Linked DNA regions of Notamacropus eugenii. The protein of the gene in region 4 interacts with the protein of the main gene of each other region in a pairwise test. Links are inferred from orthologs where the notes say so. Each region holds a gene or a part of one and is shown on either strand. Other genes may lie near its edges. The genes, in order: PTPN11, ATPAF2, PCMT1 and RPIA.

Region 1 (7,894 bases), on a different chromosome or scaffold from region 4:
CAGAGTGAAGCAAACTATAGGCGAGGAGTCACACCTCCACTGTCATGAAACCAGAGCAAGAACCAGGAGGCTAAGCAAGGATGGCTCAATCCCTCCAGTTCTCTGAGATGAGAAGGGAATCCCACACTGAACAGCTGAGGGGAGGAGAAAAAGGGCTGGAGTTGGAACAAGTGGATGGACTCCAGCTGGGCTCCGGCTCAGACATTCACTAGCTGTGTACAGACTCAAATCACTTCACTTCAGAACCTCTATTTCTTCAAGATGGGGATTAATAATACCTCCTGAAGTGATCGTGAGGATGTATGTAGATAATATATGAGGAAGGACTCTGCAGACAAGGGGAAGAAACTGACTCAGCTCCAAAAAGCACTGTGACTGGCCCAGGGTCACACAGCTAGTGTGAGAGAATTTGAACTCGGGTCTTCCTGACTCCAAGTCCAGCATTCTAGGCTGTCTGACAGTGATTACTATCACAGTTACTATTCCTGTGCTGCTGTTAACTAGACAGTTTTCTTCTCAACAGCAGAAGCGAACTGGAGGAAAAGCAGGCTATCCGTCATTTAAAATTCAGTTAGACCATTTGGGCAGCTTCACCTGGCTAAGACTTTGCAGTTTCCAAAATCATCAGGCAACACAACTCTTACTAAGGAGACCCTTTCCTGTACATCCCCCTCCCCCCTTTCCCCCCATGCTTTTCATGTCCTAGAAAGGCAACTCCTTCCTAGTTCAGAATAGCAGACCTTGAACAAAGGCTCAATGGTTACTTTGATAGATGAAGTAACACACAGACAAAGGCTCCGAGAGAGGACACTTTAGGCCACAGCCACACAGCGTCTTGCTGAAATGCACCCAGATCTGACAGAGCTTGGCATCACACCTGCCCAGGTCATTCGCTTCCTAAAGTTTCCAGGTTTGGTTTTTCCCTACCCCAAACAATCACGGAAACAAATAGAAAGACAAAGATGCAGAATGAAAGACACAAAGACTGAGAGAAAGAGTATTAGGGAAATATTCCTAATTTCTTAAGAAGCTTCCCATTTGGATCATACCCTGTCCCAATGCTATTATTTAAACATCACAAAAGAGTGGTGATGTTTTGGGACTGAACAAAACTGAGCAGTCATCAACCAAAAAAAAAGATGGGTCTATAGCCAGTACAACCCATAAAGGATTAGTAACATCTGGTAGTAATGATAGGTCTGACTGAGGGCAACGAAGTGCCCTGTACAGACTGTACAAGCTTAATAATAGTTAGAAAGTAATAATTCATTCTTCAGCCTACATCTTTTCATCTAAGAAACCCAACGCACCTTGACACCAATTCTCACTAATGCTACTGATTCTGTCCAGAAGAGGAAAGAGCTTGACAGTTGCCAAGAATTGGACATGAATAACCTGAGGAAAGGACCTAAAACTACCTCGAGGCTTACTTCGGGTCTGCCTAACCAATGCCAGTCCAGAGAGGCACTGCCTCAGAGTGGCTAACTAGGAGCATTATTACATACACAAGCACCAAGAACCTCTCCCCCAAAGGAGGGTGGCTGTGATTTCTGAATAATTATTAGGCAATTTTCATGAAGCAATGAGTAAGGAATGTAGTGCACAACCATGACCTACTTCAGCTTTGTATCTTCTGCTTATAAACAATCCCTGCCTTCCAGCTTGGAGGCACTAAAAGAGTCATTACTTAGAGCAGAGTGGAATGAATGAAGAGATCACAAAAGAGAAGAGCAGCTGGGAGCAGAGTCTCTACCCTGGTCCCCCTTGGATGAAAACAAGAGGAAAAGAAGGTAGAGTGGAAAGGAGTACTGATCAGTGTTTCCACGAAGAGACCTGAGGAGAAGATCCAATTCTGACACTTAGTAGCAGTATTTCCATATTTCCATGAGCAAGTTCCTTCCTTTCTGGGAGCCTCAGTTTCTTCCTCCATTAAATGGTAATAATAAGGCTGGTATCTCACAAGGTTATTATGAGAAGTGCTTTAAACCTCATGAAAAGGTGTTTATTATTTTTCCAATACCAAAAACTAAATATATAGAGGAAAGTGAAAGACACACAGCTGGGAAGGGGAAACGAAAACGGGGACATTCCTGGGGAGACAGAAGGGAATCAGGAGATCCCCACACCTAGCAAGAGCAGCAGATTCCTGAAGGAGGGTAAGAGGGGGAAGGAAGGAAAATGAAAAAGGAAACAGAAGAGAGATAACAAACTGTGCTAAATGCTGGAGATGCAAAGAAAGACAAAAAGACAGTTTTTGCTCACCAGGAGAGAGGAAAAAGAGGGGAGAAAGGAGGGACAAATAAAGAGAGGAAGGAAAGAGAGAAGGGAAAGAAAGAGGGGAAAGAGAAGAGACGGAAGGAGAAAAAAGAGAGAAAAGGGAAAAGAAGAGGGGAAGGGAATAAGCATTTATTAAAAGTCTACTAGGTGAAAAGCTCTTTACAAATATTTTCTCATTTGACCCTCACAATAAAGCACAAGGGGGAGGGGGGAGAAGAAAGTGAAGACGAGAGGGAAGAATGAAGAGGAAAGAAAGAGTGGAGGGGAATAATAGAGAGGGAGGAGGGGGAAGGAACAGAAAAGAGAGAAAGAGGGAGAGGGAGAAAGGTGAAAAGAAAAGGGGAAGAAGAGTGAGAGCAAAAGGGGAGAAGAAAAAAGAATCGAAAGGGAAAGGGGAAGGGAAGAGGAGAGGAAGAGGGGATAAAGAAAGGGAGGAAAAGAGGAAGGGGAAAAAGAAAGGAAAAGGGGAGAAGAGGAGGTGGAGATGAAAAGATAAGGGAAAGGGGGAACAGAGGGAGGGGGAGGGGAGAAAGAGGAGAAGGAGAAAGATGAAAAGACAGGGGAAAGGGGTGTGGGAAAGAAAGGGGGGAAAGGGGAAAGGGAGAAGGGATAAAAAGGGAACGGGGAGGGTGGAGGGAGGGGGAGGGGCGGGGGAGGGGCAGAAGGGTAAGAGCCAGAAGAGGCGGCTGGGGGAGGGGAGAGAACAGACTCCACTGCCCCTCCCCCAGCCCGCCCGGTGGGGGAGGGGGTCTCGCGGCCGGGGAGGGGGAGGGGCGCGCGGTGCTTTGTGGGCGGGCGGGGGTCGCGGGGGTCGCGGCGCTCACCTCCGGGATGTCATGTTCCTCCCGCTCCCGGGCTCCTCCTCGGATCCGCTTCCTCAGGGGCCGGGCCGGGCCGGGCCGAGGGTTAGCGCGGAGCCCGCGGCGCTCCGGCCGCCATCCAGGCCTCGGGATCCCGGAGACTAGAGACGAGCCGCCCCCCCCGCCCCCCAAGCGCCTCCGCTCCGCTCCGCTCCCCCGCGCCTCCGCCCCCGCCCCTCGCCGCCCGGCACCGCGACAGTGACGCCATCGGCCTGCGACGCCAACCTCCCGCCAGGCCGCCGGTCGGCCCCAAAAGCCTCCCGCCGGCCGCGCGCGCCGCGCACTTCCGGCTTCCCCCTGCGCAGGCAACTGCGCCCCGCGCCGGGGGTTCCGCCCGCCAGCCTGGGCCGCCCCGAAGCAAACGGCCGCGAGGGGGCGCTCTGGTGTCAGGAGGATCCGCGAGCTCCGAGCCAGCGCCCTCCACGTGCCAGGCACTGGGCCCGCGGGAGGCTCCCAGGGTACACGCTGTGCCGGCCCAGCTTCCCGTCCACCCCCTTCTGTGCCTGGCACACGGCAGGTGGGCGCGAGAGTGGGTCTGGAAGCTCAGATCCAGCGTCAGACCCTGGGCGAGCCAGACATTTAACCTGTGCCTCAGTTTCCTCATCTGTAAAATGGGAGACAAAGCACAGGCGCCTACTCAGTCAATTCCCGCGGCTCCCTCTTACCTGCAGGAGCCCTCCAGCATGGGCCTTCCTAGCCCAGCCCAGCCTGTCTGTGCAGGCGTCGCCCCTCACTGCCCAACCTGGCCCCGGGGGCACCTCTCGGCTCGGGCTGCCCCCGTGCCTACCAGCCCCCTGCCTCCGGACTCTCCCAGCTCCTCCAGGAAGCCCCTCGTGAGCCTCCCCTCCGCCACGTGCTCCCCCTCCTGCCCTGCGGGGCCGGTGCTGTTCGGATCTGGGGGTTTCCTCCCCTAGACTGTAAGTCCTGGAGGCCAGGCGCTGCAGGTTGCTTCATTGTATCCCTGCTGCGCACCGCGTAGTAGGTGCTTAATGCGCGCTTACTGAACGGAATTGAACCTGCTTCCCAAACACGTTATGAGATAAAATGAAGTCATATTGGTAAAGTTATTGGCAAACCTTAAGGAGTTGTATATATCTAGCTGACACCCCCTGTTCTAAGAACCCCCCAGCCCTGACACCCCCTGTTCCGAGGCCCCTCCCAGCCCTGACACCCCTTGTTCCAAGGCCCCTCCCAGCCCTGACACCCCCTGTTCTAAGGCCCCTCCCAGCCCTGACACCCCTTGTTCCAAGGCCCCTCCCAGCCCTGACATCCCCTGTTCTCAGGCCCCTCCCAGCTCTGACACCCCTTGTTCCAAGGCCCCTCCCAGCCCTGACATCCCCTGTTCCAAGACCCCTCCCAGCCCTGACACCCCCTGTTCCAAGGCCCCTCCCAGCCCTGACATCCCCTGTTCCAAGGCCCCTCCCAGCTCTGACACCCCTTGTTCCGAGGCCCCTCCCAGCCCTGACATCCCCTGTTCTCAGGCCCCTCCCAGCTCTGGCACCCCTTGTTCTAAGTCCCCTCCCAGCCCTGACATTCTCTGTCCTTAAAGGCTCTCCCAGCTTTGACATTCTATTAAAGTGGAAATAACACCAGAACAAAGGATTTCTAAGATCAAAAAATAGCAATCGTGATGTTAGAACTCAAATGCCAAAAATGCCTGCTTGAAAAATGATCTTAATACTCCCACAAACACTTGCTAAGTACGTTTTTATGTGGGAGTTATAGAAATATTAGGTTAACCTGTTAGTTATGTTAAGACATGAGATTTCTTAAATTTTCTATTTCGTAAGCTCTTTGATGAAAAGGATAGAGCCCTGAGTCTGGAGTCAGGGAGATCTGAGTTCAGACATTTACTGTGTGATCCTAGGCAAGTCACCTAAACCTGAGCTTCTTCCTTTGTAAAGCAGAGGTGACCTCCTGGCCTCTATCTACCTTTATCTGCCTCAGTTTCCTCAACTGTAAAATGTAGATATTAACAGTACATACCTCCTAGGATTGTGATGAGATAATTATTTGTCATGGAATAATATTCGTTAAAATAAGTGCTTAGCGTGGCATCTGGCACATATTGTTGTCTGTTGGTCCTGTCCAACTCTCTGTGACCCCACTGAAGATTTTCTTGGCAAACATACTGGATTGGTTTGACATTTCCTTCTCCCACTGATTTTACAGATGAGGAAACTGTGGCAAACAGTATTAAGTGACTTGTCCAAGGCCACACAGTTTTTAAGTGTCTAGTGCTATATTTGAACTCAGGTCCTCCTGACTCCAAGCCTGGCACTCTATCCACTGTGCCACCTAGCTGCCCACCTGACATAGAGTAGGCACTATGGAAGTACTTATTTCCTTCCTTTCCTTTCAATACTCTTTGAACTTTGAATAATAGTGATAAGCTAATATGTACATAGGAATTTAAAGCTTGTGATACTGTTTGTGTATATTAGTATATGACCTTCAAGACAACTCTGTGAGGAAAGAGCTATTATACCTATTTTACAGCTGAGAATGGTTAAGTAACTTGACCTTTACTTGATAGCTCCTTAATCTAACTTGGGAATCAAACTCAGGTCTCTCTAACTCCAAGTTTGTCCCTCTTTGTACTTCAGCCAAGTCTACTGTCACATGAATTGGTAGATTATTAGTTTTATTTTTAATCTGATGCCACAGAACTTCTTTGGAGAATTAATAGTTACAAAGTATTTCATCCCCTAGTAATCACTGGAGCAAAATATTTCTAAGACCAAAAAATGGAGACTCTGTAGAACAGAGGAGAAAAGTAGCATCGGTTCTGGAGTCAGCAAGTCAAGCCATCACCCGTCACAGTTTGTGATGTCATTGGTCCAATGAAGGACCAACCACAAGATCTGCTCATGTATTCAAAGGTAACCTGGTGTAATGACGAAGAGTACTAGACCTGGACCTACCACCCAGGGTGACTGTGAGGATAAAATGAATATTGGTACAGGGCTTTGCAAACCACAAAGCAACATATAAATGAGAGCTATTTGGTTGTTTTTATATAAATGCTCAAGTCACCTACATAGCAGCTATATGATCATGTGTAAGTTACTCCCCTTCTCACAATTTCAATTTCTTCATCTGTAAATTGAGGCTAAAAATAATTGTCCTCTTTGTTATGAGATGATGCTACGCAAGTGCTATGTATGAGTATGAGGGTTCTTTTTTTCAATTTTTATTTTAGATAGAACCTGTGGTTTCATTGGTATAAGGAACTCCTAGGAAATTCTGTCTCCCAGTGCAGGTCTAGGTGAAGCAACTTGCCTAGAGTCTCCCAGTCAGTATGTGTCCAAAGCAGGACCAAAGCCAAGTCTTCCTGGGCTCTCTAGCCATCATGCCACACCCTCTTAATGTTTATATGTTTTATATTTAACTTAATATTTAAATATATGTTATACATTTATAGTCAAAATGAAGAAGTTTGACTGGATAATCCCTAAAGACCCTTCCTTCTAGTTAAAAACATTGTTTCTCATTTATTCTAAGGTTCCTTCCAGTTCTGATTGCAGATAACGACATTTTTCTTACATTATGTCCTACCCTTTGGTCATTCAAGAGTTAACAAAAGGAGATTTACTTAGCCATAGCAGAAGAATATTCAACAAGGATGTGGCTTGAGGAATCCCTGAGCTGACCTTGTATGAGCTGACCATCATGCTCTGCCAGCCAAGCAACAGGGAATCCTGGTCCTCTCGGCTGTTTTGGACTCTACTGACCAGGAAATGATGTTTAAAAGCCTAATAAGCCTTTAAGCTGTCTTAGCCAAACAAATCTCAAGGACAATTTCAGTATCTAAAACTATCCCAACTTGTATGAGAGCAGAATTTAGGATTTTCCCATGAGTTAATGCTCCCACCACAGGGAAACTGAGGACCAGAGAGGGGAAATTGCTTGCGCGTTGTCACAAAGAGTGAGTACTTGAATCCAAGCCCTCTGTCTTCTCTCCCAATGTTCTCTCTACTAAAAAGATGTAGTTGTTAAATATGAGAACTAGAAGGAACTATCATTGTACAGAAGAAGAAACTGAGACCTAAAGACTTTCCCAAGGTCACACAGGTGAACTCAACGAGCGCATTATTAGTATAATAGTATTATTTGTTTATATGTATATCATAAAAGTATTATTAGCTTATAAGGTAAAACTTAGATGTGAAACTTCACCTCTTCCAGGAATTACATCGGGATGACATGGACAGGAATATGTTATTTCCCATTAGTTGGACTCCTCTTAAATTAGATGAACTCCTCTTAAGAAACCTAACAACTCCATTATATTAAAAAATGAAAGGTTCCTCTTCTTTTGCTTGAACTGTATCTTCAGAGTGTTACAAAGTACTCTGTAAACCTTAAGGTGCTGTATAAATGCATGTTCATACTACGATTTTCTTCCTTAATGTTGTGGGGGCCATGTTCTCCCTGGAAATACATCCTCCATGAGCCTGTGTGTGCAGCATTGTAGGTGATGATGATATTTCAGTGCTGACTCTGACAAGATGGAAGCATTTACAGTATTCCTGGAAAGTTAACTGGATGCTAAGTCTTGTGAGGGAGTCAGGATGCAAGAAAATCCAAGCAAGTAGATCAGAAGAGACAAGAGATAAAAATGGTTTTGGAGCCAGGAAGTTGCCCACCTCCCCTCCCCCAACTGGGTTTAGCTCCTGCCATGACTAACAGAAGGCTTTCCCTCAGCCACCCTGGAAAGCAACAACTGTAGACAGCATCCCAACCCCCTAGCCACA
Region 2 (8,273 bases), on a different chromosome or scaffold from region 4:
GATGGTGGTGGATAGGAGGGGACTACCAACTAGGGAGTCACCAGGAAAGGCCTCTTGAAGGAGGTAACCCTTGAGCTGAGCCTTGAAGGAAGCCAGAAATTCCAAGAGGAAGAAGTAAGGGAGGAGAACATTCCAAGCATGGGGGGGAGGGGGACAGGCTGGGCAAAGATGAAATACTATGGTCAGAGAAATGCAAGCAGATCAATTTGGCCAGAGTGGAGTGAACGAGGGGGAAAACGCCAGTAAAACCCTATCAGCCAAGGATAAGTAGAAAACAGATTTTGGAGGGCTTCAATGTCAAATAAAAGAGGCTGTACTTCTATTAGAGCTCACTATCTTGTTTTACCTTGTAGTGCCAATGACCACTCGTCTATGGCAGAAACTTGCCTCAGTGTCTAGCACATAGTAGGATCTGTTTTTACCAAAAAGATCACCTTTAACCATGACCTTCCAACATTAGATTGTGTACTCTTTGGAGGAAAGACACAGGGCAAACACAAAGCATTAGACTGCCTTTGTTTTGAGTTCTTTCAGATCAACTGAATAGGACTGAATATGAAACTATTGGATGGAGGAGGTCAAGCAAGCCCACTCAGAAGAAGCTGCAGGGCATTCTGAAGGAGAGACAGGAAGCATCACAGACCAGTTGGGTCAGCCAACATCTCTCTTTGGAACTGTAGTGCTTTCAATCCAGTGTCAAATGGTTCAACACAGAAACTGATAGGATTTTGTCAGTGGAAATGGCATTGAAGATCAATCATCACCATCTGCTTTGCTGCTGTACCCTAAGGACCAGGGGACCTTTCAATCTGACTTGTAGCTGAAACCTTCCATATGGAGTTTCCCCAGGAGAATGTGAGCTCCTTGGAAGGAGGGAATGGCTTACTTTTCTATTTATATCCACAGTTTTTTTATACATGATAAGTGCTTAATAAATGCTTCATTCATTCATCGACTCATTCAGGAAGATCTGCCACATGATGAATTTTCCACAGAGTAAATTTCCTACCAAGTTCCCTTATATGATAAAAACTCTAAATGAGTCAACGTAAATTATTTTCTAGGTAGTGGAGACAGATCAGAAATCTTTCCCATAGCAACTATATTAGGGTAAAGAGTACTGGCCACTAACTGGCCAGGCCAACTCCCTTTCTCTCCCTGCCCTGCCCCCTCTGCAGTATAGAGAGGGAAAGGGGAGACATCAATCATATATTTCAAGTTAGAAAAGACAGTCTACAGATAAGGAATTGCTGCCAAGAGAATAGGTGGCAAAGTAGCTGTCAGAATTCATCTACAGGAACTCATAAAGATCTCTGCTTTCCTCTATACCAGGAAAAATCTGAAGAAAAATCAGGAGAAAATGTATGGGACAATCCACTAGGAAGGGCAGGGGGAAGTGGAGTACGACCAATCGACCAACCAGTCAGAAGATGGGTTACATCTATCCTTTGCCTAGACATCCAATCATCAGGCACCTCTCAAACACAACCCCAGCACCCCCTTCAACCATTATTGCCCAACACTACCCCACTTTGCCTTCAGCTCCTAAACCTCTCCCCTTCTACTCCATCACTAAAACCAATCAATCCCAGCAGGTATGTCAATGCATCTCCCACAATCCCCCGAACCCCAGCAAACACATACACTGCCCCCCAGATCACCTCATGATGGTTTGGTGCCTCTTGGATAGTCCTATCCTCTAAAGGAGAAATATTAAAATTCATCTGTTTGGTTAGCCACATCAATCAAATTGACTGAATATTTAATTCACACCCTTAACATTCACATCAAAGTTTTGAAAAGTGAAATGATCACTATTACTAAATCACTCTAGCTTGTTTTTATTGAGAAAGCAGCAGTATGTATGTTTAATGTGATTGGGAAGTAACCAGAAAATCTGCTGTACAATACAGGTGTTCACTGGTTATATATATACTATATATGATAATATAGATAATATATAATAGCCAGTGATAACCAAGTACCAAACTTACAGATGTTATACATTTTTCTTTTAGCAAAAAAAGTGATAGTTTCTGCTATGAAAGTGGTTGTCAGAAATAGTACTGTACTTAGCAGTTATTTAAGAAGAAATTAACTTGAATCTGTTCTTTCAATATAAAGGTGATGTTTTAATGAGTTTTAATGTTTTAAGAATGAGAATGGTTTTTGAAAGAACTAATGTAAGAGAGCACTGGAAAATGGAAGGTTGGAAATATTTCCATCATGTGATTTTGTTGCTAAAAATGCTATGTTGTCATCTATAAACTCTCATATCTTCAAAGTTAAAAAAAAAAAAACCTAAACAGCTTTGGAAACAATTTTCTAACCTGTTTAAAAATCTTCTAAATGAAAAGTTTCAGCAGGTTTTGAACCCATTTATTAAAAATATTAAAACGAGACACCTGCAGATTTTAACTTGCAGTAGAAATTTTCTAGCCAACTTTCAACCAAAAAATACCTCAGTATATCATCGATAGGGCCGAAAAGCGAGTATGAAGATTGAGTGAGTAAATGCACTGTTTCCACTTTGTTCTTTGTCAATTTTTTCCCAAGGTAAATTTACCATTAAAACCCAAATTAACTGAACCTGGGACCATGTACAGTGATACATGTAATTTATTATATATAATAGGATTATACCTCTATCTTCATATATGTACATATCGCTATACACATCTATAAAGGGTGAATCTACTAGACATATCTACACATACACCTACTTACGTGGATCTACCTCAATCTACACATGCCTAGTTATAGGCACAGACAGATGTAGGTCTGAATGGACAGACAGATACAAATATAAGCAGATCTATATCCATATATACACACACACATATACCTCCATACATTAGGGCTACACGCTTCCACATGTTTTCCCTGGAATAGGTGACCCCTGGGCTGCAGGGCCCGTCCGTCCATCCCGCCATGGCGGGTGCCCCTCTCCGGCCCCCCCCGAGCTACCTGCGGCCCAGGCCCGGCCGCAGCGGGGCCTCCCGCCTGCGCTCACCTGCGGGGGGGGCGTAAGCCCGGCGGAGGAGCCAGAGCCCCGGGGCCGGCGCGGCCTGGTCCCCCGGCTCTACGGGGGCGGCAGGGACCAAGCAAGGACGGCGTGGGAAGCTCGCGCCTCCGGCCCCGAGCCGAAAGCAGCTTCGCCACATAGCACCTTTGGGCGGGGACAGGGAGCAATCGAGGAGGGGACCCCAGGGCGTGAAGGAGAAAGACCGCAACCTCTCACGGTTGGGGCAGTTGCACCGGACCCGCCTGCAGAGTTCTCCCACCACTAGCTGAGTTCAACTTCCTTTGGCCACCGCCATATGACCCTGAGCCACTACCGGCCGGTCCCCTAACCTTCGAGCCCTCCCAGCCAATCAGCGTCACGAACTCGTTCCGTCTCTAGGCAAAGACTACATATCCCAGCGGGCCTTCGACCTCTGGACACGTGTGGCTCACGCCAACCAATAAGAAGAAGCGGCGGCTAAAATTGCTCCCGCCCCCTCACCGGGTCAGAGCCAATTGGCCTGAATTAGCTTATGTGTGTATGAGTGTAAGTATGTGTGTGGGTGGGTGGGTATGTGTCTGTGTGCGCGTGCGCACATGAGTGTGTAGGTAGGGGCGGGGTGGGGGGGGGCATCCAGGGAGGGGGAGCCCCCGTTCTCTAGTCCTCCCGCACCCGTCGGCGGCTAGAGTAGCTTGTCGGCCAATAGCGGGGTGGGCGTCCCTCTCCTCCCTCCCTCCCCTCCCTTTCTCATCCCGCGCGCCTGCGCGCGCCCGGCCCCCTCGGTCAGCCCGCCCTCCTCCGGCTCCCGCGCGGCGGCCGCGGCGGCTTCTCCCCCCTCCCCGGCTTTCCCTTCCCCCCTCCTCTCCCTTCCCCTCCCCCCTCCCCCACCCCACCGCCCTGGCTCCGGGGGACCCCGAGATGCCGGTCCGCACCGAGTGCCCCCCGCCGGCCGGAGCCTCGGCCGCGTCCGCCGCGTCCCTCATCCCGCCGCCCCCCATCAACACCCAGCAGCCCGGAGTGGCCACCAGCCTCCTCTACAGCGGCTCCAAGTTCCGCGGCCACCAGAAGAGCAAGGGGAACTCGTACGACGTGGAGGTGGTGCTGCAGGTACCGGCCCGGCGGGCGGCGGGCGGGCGGCCTCCTCGGCCCGGCCCGGCCCGGGCCTCCCCGCGGCCGGCCTCCCTTCCTGGTCCGCACCCGTGCTCAGGCCCCCATGCCCGGCCCCTGGAACTCCCCCCCATTGTTGACACCCCCAGCAATGGGTGGGGGGCTCCCCCCCAAGCAGGGTCTTAGTTCTCTGGCCCAATTCCCCCTTTTCGTAGACGTCTGTCCTTCCGCACCCCAGGCCGGCCTCCCTGAGTCACCCCCCGACCGCTGCGGGGGCCTTCCCTTCCCCATCTCCACCTCGGGGCCTCTGCTCCCCTCTTGTCCCCGGACTTCCTACTCGGTCCTTCCTCACCCCCACCAGACGTCGTGCCCCCCGATATCTTATATCTGTCCTTCCCTCCTCCCGGGGCCTCCCTGAGTCACCCACTGACCGCTCTCCTTCTGTCCACATCAGTCTGTCCTTTTCTGTCCGTAGGACCCCCCCGCCCCCCGCCCCGACACTCCTGATATTGCCCCACCCCACCCTCATCTCCACCTTTCTCTGCTGCACAGAACATCCTCTTCTCCTGCCTTACACCCATTCATTAGAAAGGCTTTGATCCCTGGAGAACCTGCTCATTTCCTCCTCATCTGGGGACCTGCTCCCTGGTTGAAATAACCCATGAAACCTGGCAACTTTCTTCCGTACCTCGCCTCTATTTCCTCTTCATAACCTGACCAACAACCACTCCCACTTCTCCTGAGGAAGAGGTCTGGTTAGTCCCCCCAGTGAGCTTCCCCTCCCTTCAGACAGCATTCCTTCTCTCTGTGAACCTCTATTAAAGAGGTCCTCCTTGCCTCTTACATCACCTCCTCTCCCTGAGCTGGCTTTGGAAATGTTTCCTGGCACATCCGTGCCACTTAGGAGGAATTTGCCCAGGGTGGTGATGTGAAATTTTGTCCTGGATGTGTGAACGGGATGGACAATCTTGATTGCTCCTTACTCATGCCTTTTTCTTTGGTCTAAGAGGGTCTAGCATCTTGCCTCAGATCAAATAGGCCTTTAGTCAAAAGACACCTTAAAAACAAGTTCATGAATCCCAGATTAGGGACCCCTGTTCTTGAGCGCAAAACAAACCTTTTTTCCTTGTCTTGTGGAAATCATTATTCTCCTTTCCTGGAATGGGAAGATGTCCAGTGCACTTTGCCTTAACCATTTTCTTCTTAGTTAGCCTAGTCTATATACCAGAGGACCTCTCTTCTTTTCTTCCCTTAGGGAAGGTAGATGATTTTCTTTCAGGCCTGAAAACTTAGCTGCTATCCTTTGTCATATTGTTTATATTAAGAGAAAATGTGGTGATTTATCTGTGCTCTTCCTGAATTTTAGAAACAATATATAATAGGCTTTCTCTTCATTTCCCAAATTTTGTGTCCTTTCTAGAGCGTAGTTGCGAATGTCTTTTACAACCCATCGCAGAAATCGTCTTAGTGAAAGAGAGCTCTAGAGATTAGCCATAAATTGTAAAGATGAAAATGTTTTTGTCTTCTTTGTGACCCTGATTTCTAATTTGGGACCTTAATCTCAATAATTCACTTTTTCCACATTTGAGGACAACCTAAGTTTGGGGCAGGTGAGGATGTATATCATGGAAAAGGATAAGAATGAGTCTGCTGAATTTGATATTTTAGATCAGGATGAGGACTGGAACTTTAAGACAGCTAAAAGTAGAAGCCCATGGATGCTGGCTATAAGACATCTTAGCTCAAACGGAACTTTCTAATGTGGATTGTAGTCATGTCAGGTAAAGGCTGTGCTTGTTCTGCAGGTGGATGGTGAGCTCGTTCATCAAGCTAGCATTCTTGTTGCTCCATCAGCTAGGACCTGGCTACTTCTGTCCCTGTGGCCTGTTTGCTTGTACCGTATTCATTCTTGAGGTTCTGCCTTGAGAAGAATTCTATCATATCATGCATTTTACCGGGTCTACATTTTTTTTTGCTGCAGTGTACTTCTTGCTATCCAAGAAGCCAAGTGCAAAGGAAATCTTAGGACACTGTGGAAGGAATATAAAGAGAGCACCTTTGTGTCCAGATGTGCTGAGTGGCTCCTTTTTGCTAAACATGTTCTTTTATCTTTCTCATCTACACTCTAGTTACAATATACACTGTTAATCTTCTCCTTGTTAATTCCAAGCTTCATAATGGTCAGTTTAAACAGAATAGATGAAGTATTGGGTTGAATGTAGGACATTCTGGTTCTTTGATGTTTTGTTATTCTTAAAATATATTAGCCAGGTCACAGATGCAAAAACAAAAAACAAAACAACCACAGCCCATCTCATCAATATCCATGTCACCCTGGTATCTTTCCTTCACTTGTTAAACCCCCATATATGTTTTTTCATTGAGTGCTGCATATATAGACAAGGTTGTAGATTAGAACTTTATATGTCATTTATAATTTAGGCAGTGCTGTGTAGTGGAAAGAGTATTGTTGGTCTTAGAATTAGAAAGACCTAACTCAACTCTGCCACTAACCAGCTGTGACCTTGAGAAAGGCAAGACTTAATCTCTTTCTTCATCCACAAAGTGAAAATAGTATGTATGCTAAATATCACAGTTGTGATGATCCATCCAGAATAATATATATGACTCCAAGAAATATGTGAAAGCACTTTATCATTGTGAAGTAATATACAAATATATATATATATTGTTATGGTAAAAGTTCTTTATTGCAGCCTGCAGCAGGTTGGTTTCATGAAACAGTGCTGGATTCCTAAGGTTAGCAACACATGAAAGCCTTTAAAATACAGTTTTCACATGCAGTATGGTAGTCACATAAAACCGTGCTCAAATGTTTTGGCTCTGTAGAAGACTTGTTTTGATACATAGGATCATAGATCTAGAACTGAACCAACCAGCCTTAGACATGAGGACAGTGAGAGGCCCAGGAAGGTTTTGGCTTGTCTCAGGGTTACGTAGATGAGAAGGGGCTAAGATAGGATTTGAACCCCAGGTTTTCTCTTCCTGGGTATACATATAAAATTTCTAAGTGTTTGTATTTCATTCACAAGATCTCTTTAATCTCCCTATCTTCCCAGCTGCTACAAAGATGTTCCAAATACCTCTTAACATTTGAATTTTGGTGTTGTGGGGAGTTTTGTGGTTCTTAAAAATATCCCATGTGTCTATTTTTAAAATGGCTATGGTAGTTTTAAACTCAGAAATATAGACATCTAACCTCTCTGGTTAGTTAGTGTTGCTAACTAAACTTTTAAGTTGTTATAATAAAAATTATAACAAATTGTTATAATTTAAATAACAAGTTATAAAAATTATTTTCCTTCAAAGTGTTTCCTATGATTTTAATTTTTTTGGTGCTTCTAACACTTTGCTCTTAAGACATAAAAATAGTATTTCAGCTACTAGTAGCCCCATCATATACATATGCATCATGTTCTGCCAGTTTCATGTTAATGATAAAAGATGGTGACTAGTATAAAATAATGGACAGACTAGGAACATATGAATAAACTGTTTAATCATGAGACTGATAATTTAGTATAGAGAAATTGAAACGGGTACAGAGGTATTTTGAAAGAGATAACTAAAACTGAAAGAGTTACAAACAGGATGTTGTTTTAGATCATCTTTTAAGAGGCTTTTCTTCAGTTCCTATGTATATATAACTGGCTAGAGAAAGCTAATGCCTGATGGTTATTGAAAAGTGCTCCCTAAAGTCTGCTACCTTGACATCACACAGGCATAGGTCAAAAAAGGAGTTAGTCTTAAAAGAGTTACTGTGTTCTTTGGGATACCATTAGGCAGGATACATATTAAGGTCTGCGCCAAAATAAAGGTCTTAAAAGTAGTGTTTTGAGCCAACTGGTTATGTGTCAGTAGATGGAAGTCTTGGACCTATCTCTGTCATGTCCATCCTTTTAAAAAGTCAGGAGAGTCATAGGCAAATGTCTTGGGCAGATACTTTATCATTTTCCTCCTCTGTAAATTGTTGAGAGAAGTAAAGTCCATCCAGCTCAAAATTCTTTGACTTTATGAAGCCATAAGCTGTAGCAAGTGTACAGCATATCATTGAACCTATTTACATGTTTTTGTATTTAAGTCTGAAAGCAATCTAACCTTCTTAGAACAGAACTACAGACAGACTGATGCAGGAGAAACC
Region 3 (7,942 bases), on a different chromosome or scaffold from region 4:
AGAATGTCTACACATGGTCCAGTCTTCCAGTATCCAGAAGTGGGTACCCTAGCATGTGGGTAATGCCATCTGAAGTGGTCTACGAATGCTTGAAACCCTTATTACAACAGGAAGAGAAAGTGTGAATCAGTTGGGATATGCATAGTTGCAGAAAGTACCCACAGTGATAAGATCATGGACCCATTAGATTATGGAAGTATTAAGATATATTGAAAACAGATTCCTTAAACCATTTAAAATTATATAATCTCTAGTATGGGTTTTCTCTATATATTATTTAGCATAGTCCAATTTCTCTTCCTAACTTTATTTCCTTGATTGCTATTTCTATTTTTTCATATTATACATCAGGTACTGAGATTTGGAAAAGTCAGATGTGTAATTTCCACTGTCAGCTATGATAAAAATAGGTTATTAGCTAAGAGAACTACTACTACTGCTACTACTACTACTGCTACTACTGCTACTACTACTACTACTACTACTACTACTACTACTACTACTACTACTGCTACTACTACTACTGCTACTGCTGCCTCTGCTGCTCTTACACCTACTACAGCTGCTACAAAGGTATCTCTAACAGGTAGCATGGCATGGCAGATAGAAAGCCAGAAGACTTGAGTTCAAATCCTGCCACCTACTATTTGTGGTGGGCTAGATAAGTCATTTAACCTCTCAGTGCTCCAGGCAACTTTCCAAAACTATATACTTTGTTGAACAGGAGCCTATCTGCATTGAGAGAGGGAATTTTCACTCTAGCAGTTCTCTAGGCCAATGAAATGACAAGCTTAGTTAAAAAGAAAATTGTGTGTTCTAAATAATATTTAAAGATTTTCCCCTATGTTACTTTGCACAGGATACTTTGAGTCTTTAGTGTCTCACACATGATGAGATTTCAAAATGATATCACAAAATTGTGTCATGGTCAGCAAATTTTTTAGCAGTGAATATATGTGATTTTAAAAAAATTATTATATTTTATTTTTTCCCTGAATTACATGTTAAAGCACTAACATTTCTAGTACAATACTGAATAACAATGATGATAATGGACATCCTTGTTTCACGCCTGATCTTTTTGGAAATGCTTCTAGTTTATCCCCATTACATATAATGCTTGCTGATGGTTTTAGATAGATGTTACTTATATTAAGGAAAACTCCTTTGATTCCTATGCTCTAGTGTTTTTAATAGGGATGGGTCTTATATTTTGTCAAAAGCTTTTTCTGCATCTAATGAGCTAAGCATATGATTTCTGTAATTTTGTTATTGATATGGTCAATTATGCTAATAGTTTTCCTAATCTTAACCAGCCCTGCATTCTTGGTATAAATCCCACCTGGTCATAGTATATTATCCTCATGATAAATTGCTGTAATCTCTTTGCTAATATTTTATTTAAAATTTTTTTCTGTATATTCATGAGGGAAATTGGTCTGCAATTTTCTTTCTCTGTTTTGGTTCTTCCCAGTTTAGGTATCATCACATATGTGTATCATAAAAAAGAATTTGGTATGACTCCTTATCTATTTTGCCTATTTTTCCAGATGGTTTATATAGTATTGGAATTCATTGTTCTTTAAATGTTTGATAGAAATTCACTTGTAAATCCATATACACTTGTAGATTTTTTCTTAGGGAACTTTCTAACTTTTTTATGACCAAATTATCTATTTTCCATTTGTGGTGCTCTCTATTTGGTCACAAATTCTTTCCTAATCCATAGATCTGACAGAAAAAGTATTCCCTGCTCTCCTAATTTGCTTATGTCACCTTTTTATATCTAAATCATATAACCATTTTGACCTTATCTTGATAAACAGTGTGAGATGTTGGTATATATGTCATTTCTGCCATACTGTTTTCCAGTTTTCCTAGCAGTTTTTGTGAAAGAATTTTTTTGTGAAATAATGAGTTTTTGTTCCAAAAGCTTGGATCTTTGGGTTGATTACTATGGTTGTTTACTATAATATAATATGTACCTAATCTGTTCCACTGATCCACCACTCTATTTCACAGTTAGTACCAGATTGTTTGATAATTACCACTTTATATAATACTGTTTGAGATCTGGTACAGGTGAACCACCTTCATTTTTTTTTTATTGATTCCCTTGAAGTCCTTGAGGTTTTGTTCTTCCAGATGAATTTTGTTATTTTTTTCTAACTCTATAAAATAATTTTTTGATAGTTTGATTGGTATGGTACTAAATAAATAGATTAATTTAGTTAGAATTGTCACGTTTATTATATTGGTTCAGGCTACCCATGAACAATTGATATTTTTCCAGTTGTTAAGATCTAACTTTATTCGTGTGAAGTGTTTTGTAGTCATATAGTTTCTAGTTTTGTTTTGGTAGGTAGATTCCCAAGCATTTTGTATTGTCTATAATAGTTTTTTTAATGGAATTTCTCTTACTATTTCTTGCTACTGGACTACACATTGATTTTTTAAAAAGGAATACTGAATTTTTTTAAAAACAATATTTTTAAAGTGTCATTCTCTGCTACATTGTTTTCAGCCCTATTTAACTGCCTTCCTTTGCCCTCACTCTTTTGAGCTACGATTATTATTGTCATTTCCCTACCAACCCATCACTCTGTTCTTACTCTGAACACTTATGGTCCATATCCCTCCTTTGCCAACGTATCATGTATTGCTTTTAGCATTAGTCATCTTCTGGTAACTTACACTTTATGTCTCCAACTAGATTATAAACTACTTGAGAGCAGGTTTTCCCAGTACCTAGCAGAATGCTATTCAAAAAAGGGAACCATGAAGATTTTCCTTTTTCAACCTACGATGATGCTGGCAGCTATTTTTCAGCAACAGCTTACTAAGGCAGGACATGCTAATCTAATCCATCTAGGTCAGCTTGGAAGAGGGTTATCAGATTCCTGAGAAAGGCCTCTAGGGCCCCTCCAGCCCTCCTCCCACCCCCAGCTGAAAGAACAGGTAGCTGCAGAGAGATGTAGTAGGAACCTATTGAGTTTACTGAATTCTCCAAAAGACAACTTTATTCAGTCAACAAATATTCATTGAATGATTACAACTAAAAAACTGTAAGGCACCCAATTATTTCCGTCATCAGAACTCACGCAGCATGGTGCGTTTATTTCACCCCTTTGTGATATGTACTTTTTCGTTTGTGGTCACAGAATCCCCAGGATAGTTTGCGAGCAGGTATTGTTTTCTCTGTTTTGCAGATTGGGGAATAGATTTCCAGTCGCCTTTCTGTGACTGTGAGAGAGAGCCAGAAAGCTTGAGGCTGTGCGCAGGGACTTGCCAAATGCTTACCTGCAGCTAGACTGCATTCAAAACTGTTCATTGATGGGGTTCTGGAAGACCCTTGTGGCAAGCAACTTCAGAGCAGGTTGACAAGAGCTTTGGATGTGGACAGGATGCCTGGGCCGGGTTCCCTGCCTGCTCCAGCTCATCTACAGTAAAGCTGATCACCGCAGAGCTGGAGCCCAGGCCCACTGTGTCATCTGTGAATCTTAATTTGCTGAGACTGCATGCTTGTCAGGGAGGGAGGAGCACACATCCCAGGATAATGGGGCGCGTTTATCCTCTTGGGGGTGGTTGATACACTTGTATTTGGCAAACTGTAGTCTGGGCTGCCAGCACAATTACCCCATTATCTGCTTTCCACTCCCCTCTCCAAGCCTTGCTTCCCTCCAAACAAATGCAGGGGTTTAGGGTGGGGTGGGTTCAGTAAAAGGATGGGGCAGTTATGCAAAATTAGGGGGCGAAAATGGTTCTTAAACATTCTTTTTGTGCCACACTTGTAGGCATGGAGAAAAGCAATGGGGCTTTTGGCGTCGGGATGGGTTCCAATGCCTAACTCATTGATTTACTTGGCCAAGTCAGCATCACAGCTCTGCAGCTAGCAGGCCTCAGAAACCACCTAGTTCGGCTTCATTTTACTGACGGTCCCAGAGGCCCGGGGCGGTCACCAACCTGCCCAAAGGTGCCGGCAAACAAGGGCGGACCCAGAGGACCTTCGGGAGCTCCCTCCCAGCTTTAACGGCATCAATAAAGCTTAGCTTAATTTTGATGCAACAACTGCCACCACCACCAACAAAATCACACGTTCCAATATGGAATAAAGTGTTAAACTCTCAGCAAAACAAGACAGTCCGTGAGCCTTTGTTCTGTCACCCCCGGCTGAAGCTCCGCTGCCCCGGTTAGTGCGTGATTTCGGCCACAGTTCGCATTCACCGGGACCAAAGGAGCTGGAGGGAGGGCCCGCGACAGGGGGCATACAGGGCGGGCGGGGCAAGGTGCGCCCTGCCTGCCGGTGCGTGGCCGCCCTCCGTCCCTAGTCCACCGCTTTAACTCGAGGCCAGGTCACTTTAAACCCAAAAAAGGAGGCGGTGGGCAGCGCGGCTTACGGGAGACCTTGAGGGATGCCCTTTCCCTCGTCTTGGCCGGCTGTGGAACCTGGACTGAGGTGCGGCTACAGCACCACCCGCCAGCCCTGCCCTTCGGCGGGCTGTGACATCCCCGGCCCAGCGAGGGCGCCTCGGAAGGGCCCCGGAGCCCCAGGGCCGGCCCCCGACTGAAGGAGCACTCGGCTGGGCACGAGGAGGAGCGCCAGGGGCTGCCCGCGACCTCGCTCTCCGAGGCCGGCAGCTTGCACAGATCGTCCTTAAAATCCCCAGGAAGCGGAACGCGGATGTCCCTTTCCTGTCCAGACTAGGGCCTTTGGCCAGGCAGCGGGGGGAGAGCTCAGAGCAAAGGGGAGGGATGCCACCGGGGTGGGGGCGGGGGCGGCGGCACTGGAGAGAGCGTAGGGGCCGCTGAGTCAGCCCAGGTTTTTTTTTTTCTTTTTGCAGCAGCAGCCGCCGCCTCCAGCCCCACCCGAGTGGGCCTGCTCCGTCACAGAGCGCATGCGCGCAGCGGGGGATGTCGGGAGCGCGCAGCGGCCCCGGGGGCAGTAGCATCGGCGGCGGTGGCGGCGGCGGCAGCAGCAGCGCCGGGGACGCGGACGTTGACGGGGCGGTGTCGGTGTGGGAGGTGGTCGAGTTCCTCGCGAAGCTGCTAGGCACCGCCGCCGCGCTGAAGCTGGTTCTCTACGTGTTCCAGGCTTGCCTCGCGATGGCCTGGAAGTCCGGCGGGGCCAGTCACTCGGAGCTCATCCAAAATCTCCGCAGTGAGTGCCCCAGCCGCCGCCGCTTGCCCCGGCCGGGGGCCGGGAGCCTGGGGAGGGGCCGCTGGGGGGAGGGCCGTGTCACCGCCTCGCCGGTCCCGGGGGCAGCAGCCGCCCTTCCCCGGCGGCGTGGTTGGGGAAGGCGGCTGCGGCGGCGGGTAGGACAGTTGGTGGCGCCCTCCGAGCCGGGCCACACGCACTTGTAATTCCCTCCCCGGGGACCTGTCACCTGGGGGCGATCGGCTGGCGACCGGGACCAGCTCGCGGCGAGCCGGGGATCGGGGGCGGCCGGCGCAGCGTGGGTGGGACCCTCTGCGCCTCGGCCCGAGAGGGGACCCGGAGAGGCGAGCCCAGGCGGCGGGGCTGTCACTCAGCGCCGGTGTTCGGCGTTCTCCTCGGCTCCGGCTGCAGAGGGGCGTGCCTGGGTGCGGGGCCGCGCGGAGTCCGGAGAGAGGAGTCGAGGTGGGAGTGCTGGGGCGGCTTGCGACCGAGCCCTCCTCGGACCTCCTGGGCGGTGCAGTTTTCCCCGAGTCGTTACCCACCCCCGCCTCACCTCGTCTTGGACCTCCCCCGGCCGCTGGGAGATGCTTCTGCCTGATGAGCCTCAGCCAGATTGGGGGGAGGGGAGGAGATGCTCGGGCTCCTGCCCCAACCCGAGAGCTCCCGGGAGGGGATGGGGGAGAAGGTTCGGTTTGGGCAAATGCTTCCCCAGCCCCGCCGCGGGGAGTCTTGCCAGCGGCGTTCCATCCTGGAGCTTGGTAATGAAAGGCCCCGAGATGAAAAGCTTGCGAAGGATCCTGAGACAGTTCCAGCCCACCTGGGTGGTGCATTCTCGTGCCACAGTCTGGACTCCGCTGTTTTCTTTCCCCTCCTTAAGAGCAAATTTTCTATGGAGATTGGTGGTTCCTTAAACAAAGCCCGTACAATCCCTCTTGAAGGCCAAAAGGACTGTTTCCGTAACCCAGGTCAGTTCACAGGGATCTGACCCCACTTACTTGTCTGTCGGAACTCAGCATCCATTTGGCAGTTAATCACCTTCAGCCTCATAGAGAGTCTTTGAGCTTTCTTCCTGTTTTTCCTTTGGCTCTGTAATTTGACTGTGAACTCCTTGGGGGAAAGGGGGTGGTTTTCATACTCTTTCCTCTCTTTCCACATTGCCTCAAAGCACTTTGAACACCTGTGAGGATGCTCAATAAAAGTTCGCTGATTGAAATATCAAGAACACTTTTTCACAGCTCTTAGAGTCTGGCATTTGGCCCACTAGAAACAGAAAGCTCTGGACCAGTCAGAAGACCCGTGTTGAAGTTCGAATTTCACTGCTTAGTTGCCAATGTGACCTAGGTGCAAGTCACTTATTCTCGTTAATCTTAGACTCAGTTTCTTTATTTGTAAATGAAGATAATGGGACTAATAATAATTTTGCTACCCAAATCACCAAGTCGTTTTGAGGAATTTACGTTGCAAAATGGACAGCACTTTTGATTTGTAAACTATTAAAATAATCTTGTGAGATAGGTAATATCAAATGTGTTTAAAATATGTGCAAGTAATTTGCAAGAGTGAAGTTCTCTGTCAAGGTAAGCTATTAATAGTAGTAGAAATTAATGCAAATAGATATTTTAAAAATTCTCACAAAATATTTCATTTGAAAATGTGCGAGGTTTAATAGCTACTTTGCTGCGTTTTTTCATTAGGTGGATTGTACAGGTGCTCAGATTTCTAGCGTTTCTCGCCATTTCTGATATTTACTGAGAATAATCTAAATGTTTGCTCATGAAAGAGCATGTATTTTTTAAGTGCTATAAAAGAATTGTAATTAGGTAATAGTGTTCTGCTGGTAGGTTATCCGGTTAGAGACTTGGCTGTGGCAGAAATTTGTAATCAATCAGACTCTTCAGTCTCTTCTTTTAGGTCAAATTCAGGGTTAGCCAAGACTAGATCTACTACCTCCATGTATATCCTATTTCAAGTACTTAGCTGAAAATTTTAAAGATGCTTTTCTATCTAGTGGCTAGGTGATATTTAACAGAGAGAATGTTGGCCCAATGTGCATTATTCTTTGTTTTTAAATAAGTGATATATTTCTTTAGGAGGAAATTAGAGTAGATAAGTTGCTTTATCTTTTGTAACACTTGTGCAACTTTAAGTTTCAACCTCTTACTGATGTAATATTTTAACTCCTAAGATGCTATTTTTGAGAGGTTGGTAATGGGATCATACAGATTTGAGGATGAAAAAAGACCTGCAAGTTAGAAAAAAATGAAATGAGAACTTTTAATGATTTTTTAAAAAATTAGATTTTGTTGTGAATTCTATTATAAACTTGTGTTGAAAAATATCTTCTTTTAAATGTTGTTATTTTGCCTTGCAATATAAACATGAAACATCATTTGTGTTTGCGTAATTGGCATAGCCATATATTTTTGGTTCATTTTAGTATTTGGGCATATATATGACCAGATTGATGGGAGTCTAGAAAGTTGGAAAACACTGTAAGTAGGATAGTAGTTAAGTTAGCAACTTTTTGCGTAACTACATTATGCAGTAAGTCAGTTTAAAGTCAACAAGCATTTATTAAACATCAACTACGTGCAAGGAATTGTGCTTGTCTGAATATTCCAGCTTTAGTTATTAGGTGATCATGCCAGTGACTGTTCAGCCAACTTCACATGTTTTAAAATTGGGACCACAAATACCCATATACATATGTAATATATGTAGACAGTGTCCTTATGGAGCATGTTTAATTTCAAACAGTTGGAACTTAAATCAGACCACATATAAATT
Region 4 (7,615 bases):
CACTCAGTTCAAAGCAACTAGTAAAAGAAGGAATTCCTACTGAATCTATAGTATAGATGGTGAGTGACGTTCTGATTGTGAATGCCACTGAGATCACAGCATTAAGAAGCCACTGAACATCTCAGAGTCTCCTAAATGTGGATCTACAATCACTGAAAAGAAATAGGTTCATCCACAAAGTAGATGGAAAATGCCCACTGACCAGGCAACAATATGAAAAAGTCAATGGAAAATGCCCTTTAATCGGGCAGTGATATGCAGCTCTTGGACGGTCAGCCCTGCTACCAATACCAATCTGGTATGGGCCTTGTGAGTGGGCAATGGGTTAAGCCCAGAGCTCAACAGGAGGAGAAAGGGATGGACTGCTGCTGTTCTCTCAATGACCCCAAGTTTCTCCCTGAAACAAAGACCTATCTTTTTTCCACAGAAACAGTCTTCTGGTGATGCTGTATTTTACAATAAGCCATGGAAATCTACATTCTCCTAAGAACACAAGCTGAGGAGCACTCACGGAACAATGGGCCATAGAACTGTCCAAGAGAAGAAGCCAAAGTTGTTCTCCAAGACCTGAAAGGTCAGGATGGGGCTGGTCATGTAGTGAACCTAAGGGATAACCCATGAACGGCCCACACGCTCCACTGAAATTCATATAAAGTCAAATGAATGAATGAAATACATTAAATGTTTACCAAGGGCAAAGGCTATCAGGGGCAGGGTCCAAGCAGAAGAACTCAATGAAGATAGTGAGGAGAACAATAAGGAAGATGTCCAGGGGCTCCTCTTCCAAAGATGACATTGTAATCACTGCATGGAGCCCCTGAACGGCTCAGAACCATCTAAATAAGATCTTGAGTAAGTACTTTGGCACTTGGAGTGGGAGTGGGCTCCCAACACAGATAACAGGGCGCAAAGGTTAGGCGGAACGAATGAATTTCAACCTGTATCACTAAAGTGTAGAAAAAAGCCTGGAGAATACCTTGTTACAACTTGTGTGTGCTGAGGGTCTCAGTTTCCTCATCTATAAATGGTAGAGGTGGGGGGAGGATTAGAGATGATCTCAAGGCTTTCAACTAAATTTATGTTCAACTACTTCCTCCTCCTCCCCCATGATAAATGCATATACAGATAATAATGGTGGGTCTAACTGTAAGGGGCAGCTAGGTGGGACAGTACATAGAACGCTAGGTATGGAGCAGGAAGCCTCATCTTTGTGAGTTCAAATCTGGCCTCAGGCACTTCCTAGCTGTGAGACCCTGAGCAAGTCACTTACTTGCTGTTTGTCTCAGTTTCCTCATCTGGAAAACGAGCTGGAGAAGGAAATGGCAAACCACTCGGGTATCTTTGCCAAGAAAACCTCAGAAGGGGTCACAGAGAGTTGGACGCGATTTTAAACAACTGATCAACAAATGATTTTAAACTTTCCCACAAAGATCTCCAAGAGATCCTTTTTGATTTGAGGGAGCCCCTAGTAGAGTGCCCTTGCCCACTGGTGGTAGTTAAGTACCCGATGAACACATACAGGAATTTCAAAGGGAAGTGGGACTGAACAGCTTGAACATCTCATAAAAGGAAGCAGGGTGGGAGCCAGTCAGAACGGCCAAGCCCAACGTCCCCTCCCAGTAAGTCCCCCTGGAGCCCGGTGGCAGTGATGGGCAGAAGGCCGGACAGGGGTCCAGGAGCCTGCTGGGGAGGGGAGGTTTCTGTCGCCCCAAAAGAGCTAGACCTCGCTACCGACTCTGCCAACGCGGGCGCGCACACGATCAGAACTTCACCCCACAGGAATCTGCTTTAAGATGCAGGATAGACTAAAAGGGGAGGGGGCTCCGAGTCTGGGTCCTCTTCTGCTCTGAATACACCCCAGCACCCCCCGGGTACTCCAGGACAGCACTGGCCACGCAAGGACCCCCGACCCGGCGAGGCGCGAGGTCCTGCCCGCACATTCACCACCTTCCGAAGGCGGAGGCGCAGAAATGGGGTGCCTGCCAGGGTGCCAGGGCACCGGGCAGGACCAAGCCCGGGAACTCCCACGGGGCAGGGATATTCTCCTTCCAGGAGGGATAATGGACATAATTAACTTGATCGGTTGTAAATTAACTCAAGGAAATGGGCTCCGCCCAACTTTTTTCCCCAAACAGTTCTCGGGAGCCGGCTCACATCTTTATAAACAGGCATTTTCGGGGCTGAGGCGGGGGAAGAAAAACCAGGACTTCGGCAGACCCCGGCCCACTGCGGGCCAAGGTCGGCCCGCCCCCTGCCCCCCGCCCCCCGCCCCCCGCGGCCTCCTTGCCTCACCCCGCCCAAGTCTGTAAGCAGGCTACAGGTTCCCTCGGACCCGGGCCGGAACCAGGCCGAGGAACAGGACCGAGCGGCACCTGGAGCTGGGGGGATCTGCCCCGCCTCACCTCCCAACACGCTCCCGGACCCCCAAACCCCCGGGGTCCAGTGTGCGGATGAGGAAGCCGCCCAGGCCGGGGCCCGCCACATGGCCCGCTCCGCCCCCGCCTCGTGGGTCCCCCGAGTCACTGGGGGGGCTTCCCCGCCCGCCCCGCCCTGCTCCCCTCCAAATCCAACTTTCCGGGGGGCCGCCTCTGGCCCCCTCCATCCCACCAGTGGCGGGCACGCTGGGGCGCCTGCCCTCGAGGGGCTTCCATTCTAGGACCGGAGGCTGCCGGGCACAAGAGACCCTCCCCGCTCGCCTTTTACAGATTGGGAAACTGAGACTGGGAGCGGGGTTCCCGGAGCCTGGGCGCGCCAGGGGCGGGATTCGAACTCGTCTCCCAGCGGCGCTCTCCACGGCGCGGCCCCGGGTGGAACCTGGAGGGCTTCCCGGAGGAGGCTGACCCGGGGCGGGGGGCACTCACCTTCACGTGGTTTTCCACGGCCGCGCGGCCGGCCTGACGCTTGGCTTCCTCGGTCTTGGACATGGTCCGGGCGGCGAGTGAGGGAAGGAGCGGGGGCGCGGGAGCGAGCGCGGGAGCGGGAGCGAGCGGAGCGCGCGCCGGGGCCGCGGCCGAGGCCACTAAGTGTCCGCTGCCCCCGCCCGAGGGCTGGCGCTGGGGCGGCGGCACGTGCGGCTCTCCCGCGCGCCAGCTCCCCCCGCCCCCGGACGAGGCCCCGCCCCCGGCCCCGGCCCGCCCGGGCAGTGGGGCCAGGACCCGCCCGTAGAGCGTGCTGAAGGGCCCCGGGCGCTGCATCCCTGCCTCCGCCGGCCCAGCCGCGCCTGCCTCGGCTCGCCCCGCCCCGGACCGCCCCGGAAATCGGGCCCGCTCAGGAGGGAGGGCGCCGCGCGAGCCGGCGCCGCTGGGAAATGTAGTTCGGGAGAGGGGCAGACCCCCGCAACTGTCCGGGAGCTCGGACTACCAGCCCCAGAAGGCAGCGCGCCTACGGCCTCACGGCTGTCCGGGGCACGCCCCGGCTTATCCTATCCTGGTCTGAGAACACCTGCTCACGTGCTTGAGCCCCGAGGCGGCCTTGGAACCAGAGGCGGTGCGCACAAGCACGCGCCGGTTGTACAGGTGCAGCTAAATGACTCGTCCGAGGTCACCACGCCGAGGGGGGCGGCAGGTGCATTTGAACCAAGGTCTTTGATCCAGCCGCCAGTGCCCCCCTATGAAATGGGGGGCCCCCAAGGACAAGCCTCCTTTGGCGTGCGTGCCCTCGGTGGAAAGAGCGCTGGCCTGGACCCCAGCCCTCGACGCTCACCCTGAGACAGTCGTAAAGGCTTAGCTCCGAGTGTGAAGATGGGGGGATAGCGCCTCCCTCTCGGGGTTGTTGCCAGGATTAAACGAGATCACATTGGTACGTGGCTTCGCAGACCTTGGAAGTGCTTTGGTTATCCAAGCGGGCAACCCCCCGAGGTTACTTTTGAAGAAATTAAATAATAATCGCCAACAGAGCACCGAATAAATGAGCGGAGGGAAGAGCCTTTGTTAAGTGCCAGGCCCCAGGCATGGGGCCCAGGCCACAGACACCAGAGCGCTAAGACCTCGCGACTTCGCCTTCCACGTGGAGAAGAGCGCACGTGGGTGATGGTGGGGGGCTGGGGCCTGCGGGAAGGTCGTGGAATTCATCAGCCTGGGGATGGGGCAGTGGAGGCGATTGAGGGAGGGAAGGAGCTACAGGCACCTTCTCATCGGATTAAACGTTACACCTTTTATATAGATAACCCCCTCCCACAGGGACTTCCATCTCCCACCCCTTTTTGAAAGGATGACCCATGGTCCTCAGTCCCTTCATCTGTCAAGAGAGGCGTGGGAAGCATGGTAAAAGCGCAATAAATCTTCCCAAAGATTAAGTGAAATAATATTCATAAAGTGCTTCACAAACTTTAAAGCTAGCTGCCTTATTACTATTAAATTAACAGGGAGGGGGGAACCCAAGGGACCTGCAGGTCAGGCAGTATGTAACTCCATGACGTCAGCAGTCACACAGCTGCCACATTCTAGAGTGCTGAGATCTGGTACATGTGATAACTGCCCAAACTGGTGGAAAGGGATTGGAATGCTAATGGCCTGGAGAAGGAGCTTTCTTTTTTCTTTTATTTTTTTCCACATTCATTTTTTATTAGATTTTGAGTTCCAAATTTTTTTCCCTCCTTTCCATTGCTTCTCCAAGTAATCTGATATAGGTCATATGTGTGCAATCGTGTTAAACATATTTCTACATTAGTCATGTGAAGAGAAAAACAGAACAAAAAGGGGGAAAAAAACAACAAAAAATTAAAAATAGTATGTTTTGATCGGTATCCAGACTCCACAGTTCTTTCTCTGGATGTGGATATGTGGATAGCTTTTTTCTTCATGAGTCTTTTAGAACTGTCTTGGAAGAACTAAGTCTGTCAAACTCGGTCATCACACATTACTGTGTATAATGTTTTCTATGTTCTACTCACTTCACTCAGCATCAGTTCATTCGAGTCTTTCTAGGTTTTTCTGAAATCTGCCTGCTCATCGTTTCTTATGGATCAATAGTATTCCATTCTATTCGTATACCACAGCTTGTTCAGGCTTTCTGCAGTTGATTTCCAGTTCTTTCCTGGACACCACAAAAAGAGCTGCTATCAATATTTTTGTACATGCAAACCCTTTGCCCTTTTTTATCATCTCTTTAGGATTACAGACCTAGTAGTTGTGTTGCTGGATCAAAGGGTAGGCACAGTTTTATAGCCCTTTGGGCATAGTTCCAAATTGCTCTCTAGAATAGTTAAATCAATATACAACTTCTAAATCATGAGGAGTTTTCAAAAAGGGGTCAAAGATGAAATCTGCAAACTATATGGTCCGGGCAACTTGACTTATATTCCTGACAAAAATCTAAAACACATTTTAAAAGGTTTATTCTATATCTTTTTTTAAAAAATCACTTTTATTTCTTCAGCTCTGTTCAGCAGTTTGTGCCAAGCCAATGGATATTGAATTCTGGGAATGAATAACCCATGGCTGTTTGTCAAACTGGATGGAGTGCCAAATCTAGAATCAGGAAGACCTGAGTTCAAATCCAGCCTCAAACCCACTACTTGTGTGGACAAGTCACTTAACCCTGTTTGCCTCAATTTCCATGTCTGTAAAATCAACTGGAGAAGGAAATGGCAAACCACTCCAATATCTTTGCCAAGAAAACCCCAAGTGGGGTCTTGGAGAGCCGGACACAACTGAAATGACTCAGCAGCAACAACAAATCCATGGTTGAAGGCTGGCAGGGCAAGATCTTTGATAGAAAAGTGGGACAAGAAGACAGTGTAGACATTAATTGGATCCCAAAGGGGTCAAGATAAGAAAAGGAGGAGAATGTAGCTAATGAAGGGGTGATGGCTTGAGAAAAAAATGAGAAGTAAAGGGATTGGAGATTGTTATGAGGAATACTGTTAAGGGTTACAAGGCAGAAGGAGAAGTAGAATGATGTTAAATTATGATCAGATGAGGGAATTCAAGAGATCATGAACTTGGAAATTAAACACTTACAGGAGATGATCAGATCAAGAGTTTAACTGTGTAGTTGAGATGGGGTGGAGAACTTTTGTTGTTGTTCAGTCATTTCAGTCGTGTCTGACTCTCTTTGACTCCATTTTGGGTTTTCTTAATAAAGATACTGAAGTGGTTTGCCATTTCTTTCTCCAACTAATTTTCCAGATGAGGGAACTGAGGCAAATAGGGTTAAGTGACTTGCCCAGGGTCATACTGCTAGCAAAGTCTCTGAAACCAGATTGGAATTCAGATCTTCCTGATTTCAGGTCTGGCACTGTATTCACTGCACCATCTAGCTGCCCTGAAGTTTAGAGGCCTAGGGTTCAAATCTTAGTTCTGCTACCTCCTGTTTTTTGGGGTTTTTTTTTAATTGATAAAGTCATTTAAGTTCTATGGGCCTTGGTTTACTCCTTTATAGAACAAAGCGTTGGACACAATTGTCTCTAATTCCTAAGCTCCTTTGTCCCCCAATATCTTCTCTGCCCCATCATGAGCCCTCATGCTACTGTGATGTTTAAAAAGTTCGAGACATGGTTCCTGGGTAATTAGTCATTTTATTAATAATGCTAGCATTTTGTTAATAAAAGGATTGGTCGCTTGACTGTCTATCTCAGACTGAAGATGAATCATGGTGGTGGGCTCACAGTTTACATGCCCTTGGAAGAGTGGGTATTCTTGAGGGTGTCAATCAACTCTGATTGATTGACAATTAATGGAGAAAATTAATATTACAATGAGAGGTAGACCTAATGAGGGGCTGGGGTGGGGGATGTAATTGATTACATCATTTACTTCTCAATTGCCCAGCCTAGGGAATTTAATCAAAGAATTTATCCCCACCCAAAACTGTGTAGAGTAAATGGGCTTGATTAAATTCTTTGTAAGGTTGGGTGGGGTCCGAAGAACCAAGAGGAGAAAGTTAATTCAGTATCATTATCAGCAGTGACCTTCAGAGATTTAACAACCTACAGAGTTCTGAAAAAATCCTGGTCCTAAATCAATAATTGGTTATATGAGGGAGAAATAATCATTTATCTCACTGCTTGGTACTCAGATAGGGAAGGACTAACTGGAGCTTAATTCCTGGCCATGACAGGGGACAGGGGGAAAGAGGAGAAAAGGATCTCCAGCTCTTGGGGAATCAGATCTAACCACCTGTCTGTGGGTGTATAAGATGAAGACTGACCATGGTACCAAGATATATTGTCCAATTTGATGCTGACTGTGGATACTAGAAGATAAATAAAATGGGTGATTCCATGGAACTGGGTATATGCTCAGGCCCTGCAGGGATGAACCTGCTCCTTGACTTCTTGCTGAGTGAAATGCAAGGCCTTCACTTTGCTGAGACAATGCAGCAACTTGTATTGGTCCCCACAATCGTAGAACTGTATAATGGAGTCTAGATGGCGAAGTGGACAGAACACTGGACATGGAGTCAGGAAAGCTTGAGTTCAAATTTGGTCTCAGATGCTTCCTAGCCATGTGACCCTGGGCAAGTCACTTAACTCTGCCTCAGTTACCTCAGCTATAAAATTGGGGGGTTGAGGGGTGATAATAGTAGCTCCTACCTCACAGCATTTTGGTGAAGACCCATTGAGATGATATTTGTAAAGTCCTTAGCACAATGCTTGGCACAAAGTAAGTGCTTA

Evidence for each region.
Region 1: the proteins of RPIA (region 4) and PTPN11 interact in binary tests that used the Homo sapiens proteins (3 or more experiments, as listed by UniProt). The two-hybrid records come from large-scale screens. The link is inferred for Notamacropus eugenii from reciprocal best matches to the Homo sapiens genes RPIA and PTPN11.
Region 2: the proteins of RPIA (region 4) and ATPAF2 interact in binary tests that used the Homo sapiens proteins (3 or more experiments, as listed by UniProt). The two-hybrid records come from large-scale screens. The link is inferred for Notamacropus eugenii from reciprocal best matches to the Homo sapiens genes RPIA and ATPAF2.
Region 3: the proteins of RPIA (region 4) and PCMT1 interact in binary tests that used the Homo sapiens proteins (3 or more experiments, as listed by UniProt). The two-hybrid records come from large-scale screens. The link is inferred for Notamacropus eugenii from reciprocal best matches to the Homo sapiens genes RPIA and PCMT1.

What each region holds. Positions count from the first base shown.
Region 1 is NC_092875.1:33,753,847-33,761,740, forward strand, and holds the start of PTPN11 (tyrosine-protein phosphatase non-receptor type 11), read right to left. Parts: upstream 3,389-7,894; 5' UTR 3,116-3,388; coding exon 3,102-3,115; intron 1-3,101. UniProt on the Homo sapiens protein: Acts downstream of various receptor and cytoplasmic protein tyrosine kinases to participate in the signal transduction from the cell surface to the nucleus. Positively regulates MAPK signal transduction pathway. Dephosphorylates GAB1, ARHGAP35 and EGFR.
Region 2 is NC_092874.1:335,298,031-335,306,303, forward strand, and holds the start of ATPAF2 (ATP synthase mitochondrial F1 complex assembly factor 2), read right to left. Parts: upstream 3,435-8,273; 5' UTR 3,165-3,434; coding exon 3,014-3,164; intron 2,961-3,013; exon of another isoform or gene 2,934-2,960; coding exon of another isoform or gene 2,846-2,933; intron 956-2,845; exon of another isoform or gene 1-955. Other genes in the region: GID4 (glucose-induced degradation protein 4 homolog), read left to right, coding at 3,923-4,111. UniProt on the Homo sapiens protein: Plays a role in the assembly of the F1 component of the mitochondrial ATP synthase (ATPase).
Region 3 is NC_092873.1:241,815,678-241,823,619, forward strand, and holds the start of PCMT1 (protein-L-isoaspartate(D-aspartate) O-methyltransferase), read left to right. Parts: upstream 1-4,397; 5' UTR 4,398-4,412; coding exon 4,413-4,456; intron 4,457-4,841; coding exon 4,842-5,158; intron 5,159-7,942. UniProt on the Homo sapiens protein: Initiates the repair of damaged proteins by catalyzing methyl esterification of L-isoaspartyl and D-aspartyl residues produced by spontaneous isomerization and racemization of L-aspartyl and L-asparaginyl residues in aging peptides and proteins.
Region 4 is NC_092872.1:724,333,650-724,341,264, forward strand, and holds the start of RPIA (ribose-5-phosphate isomerase), read right to left. Parts: upstream 3,231-7,615; 5' UTR 3,195-3,230; coding exon 2,862-3,194; intron 1-2,861. UniProt on the Homo sapiens protein: Catalyzes the reversible conversion of ribose-5-phosphate to ribulose 5-phosphate and participates in the first step of the non-oxidative branch of the pentose phosphate pathway.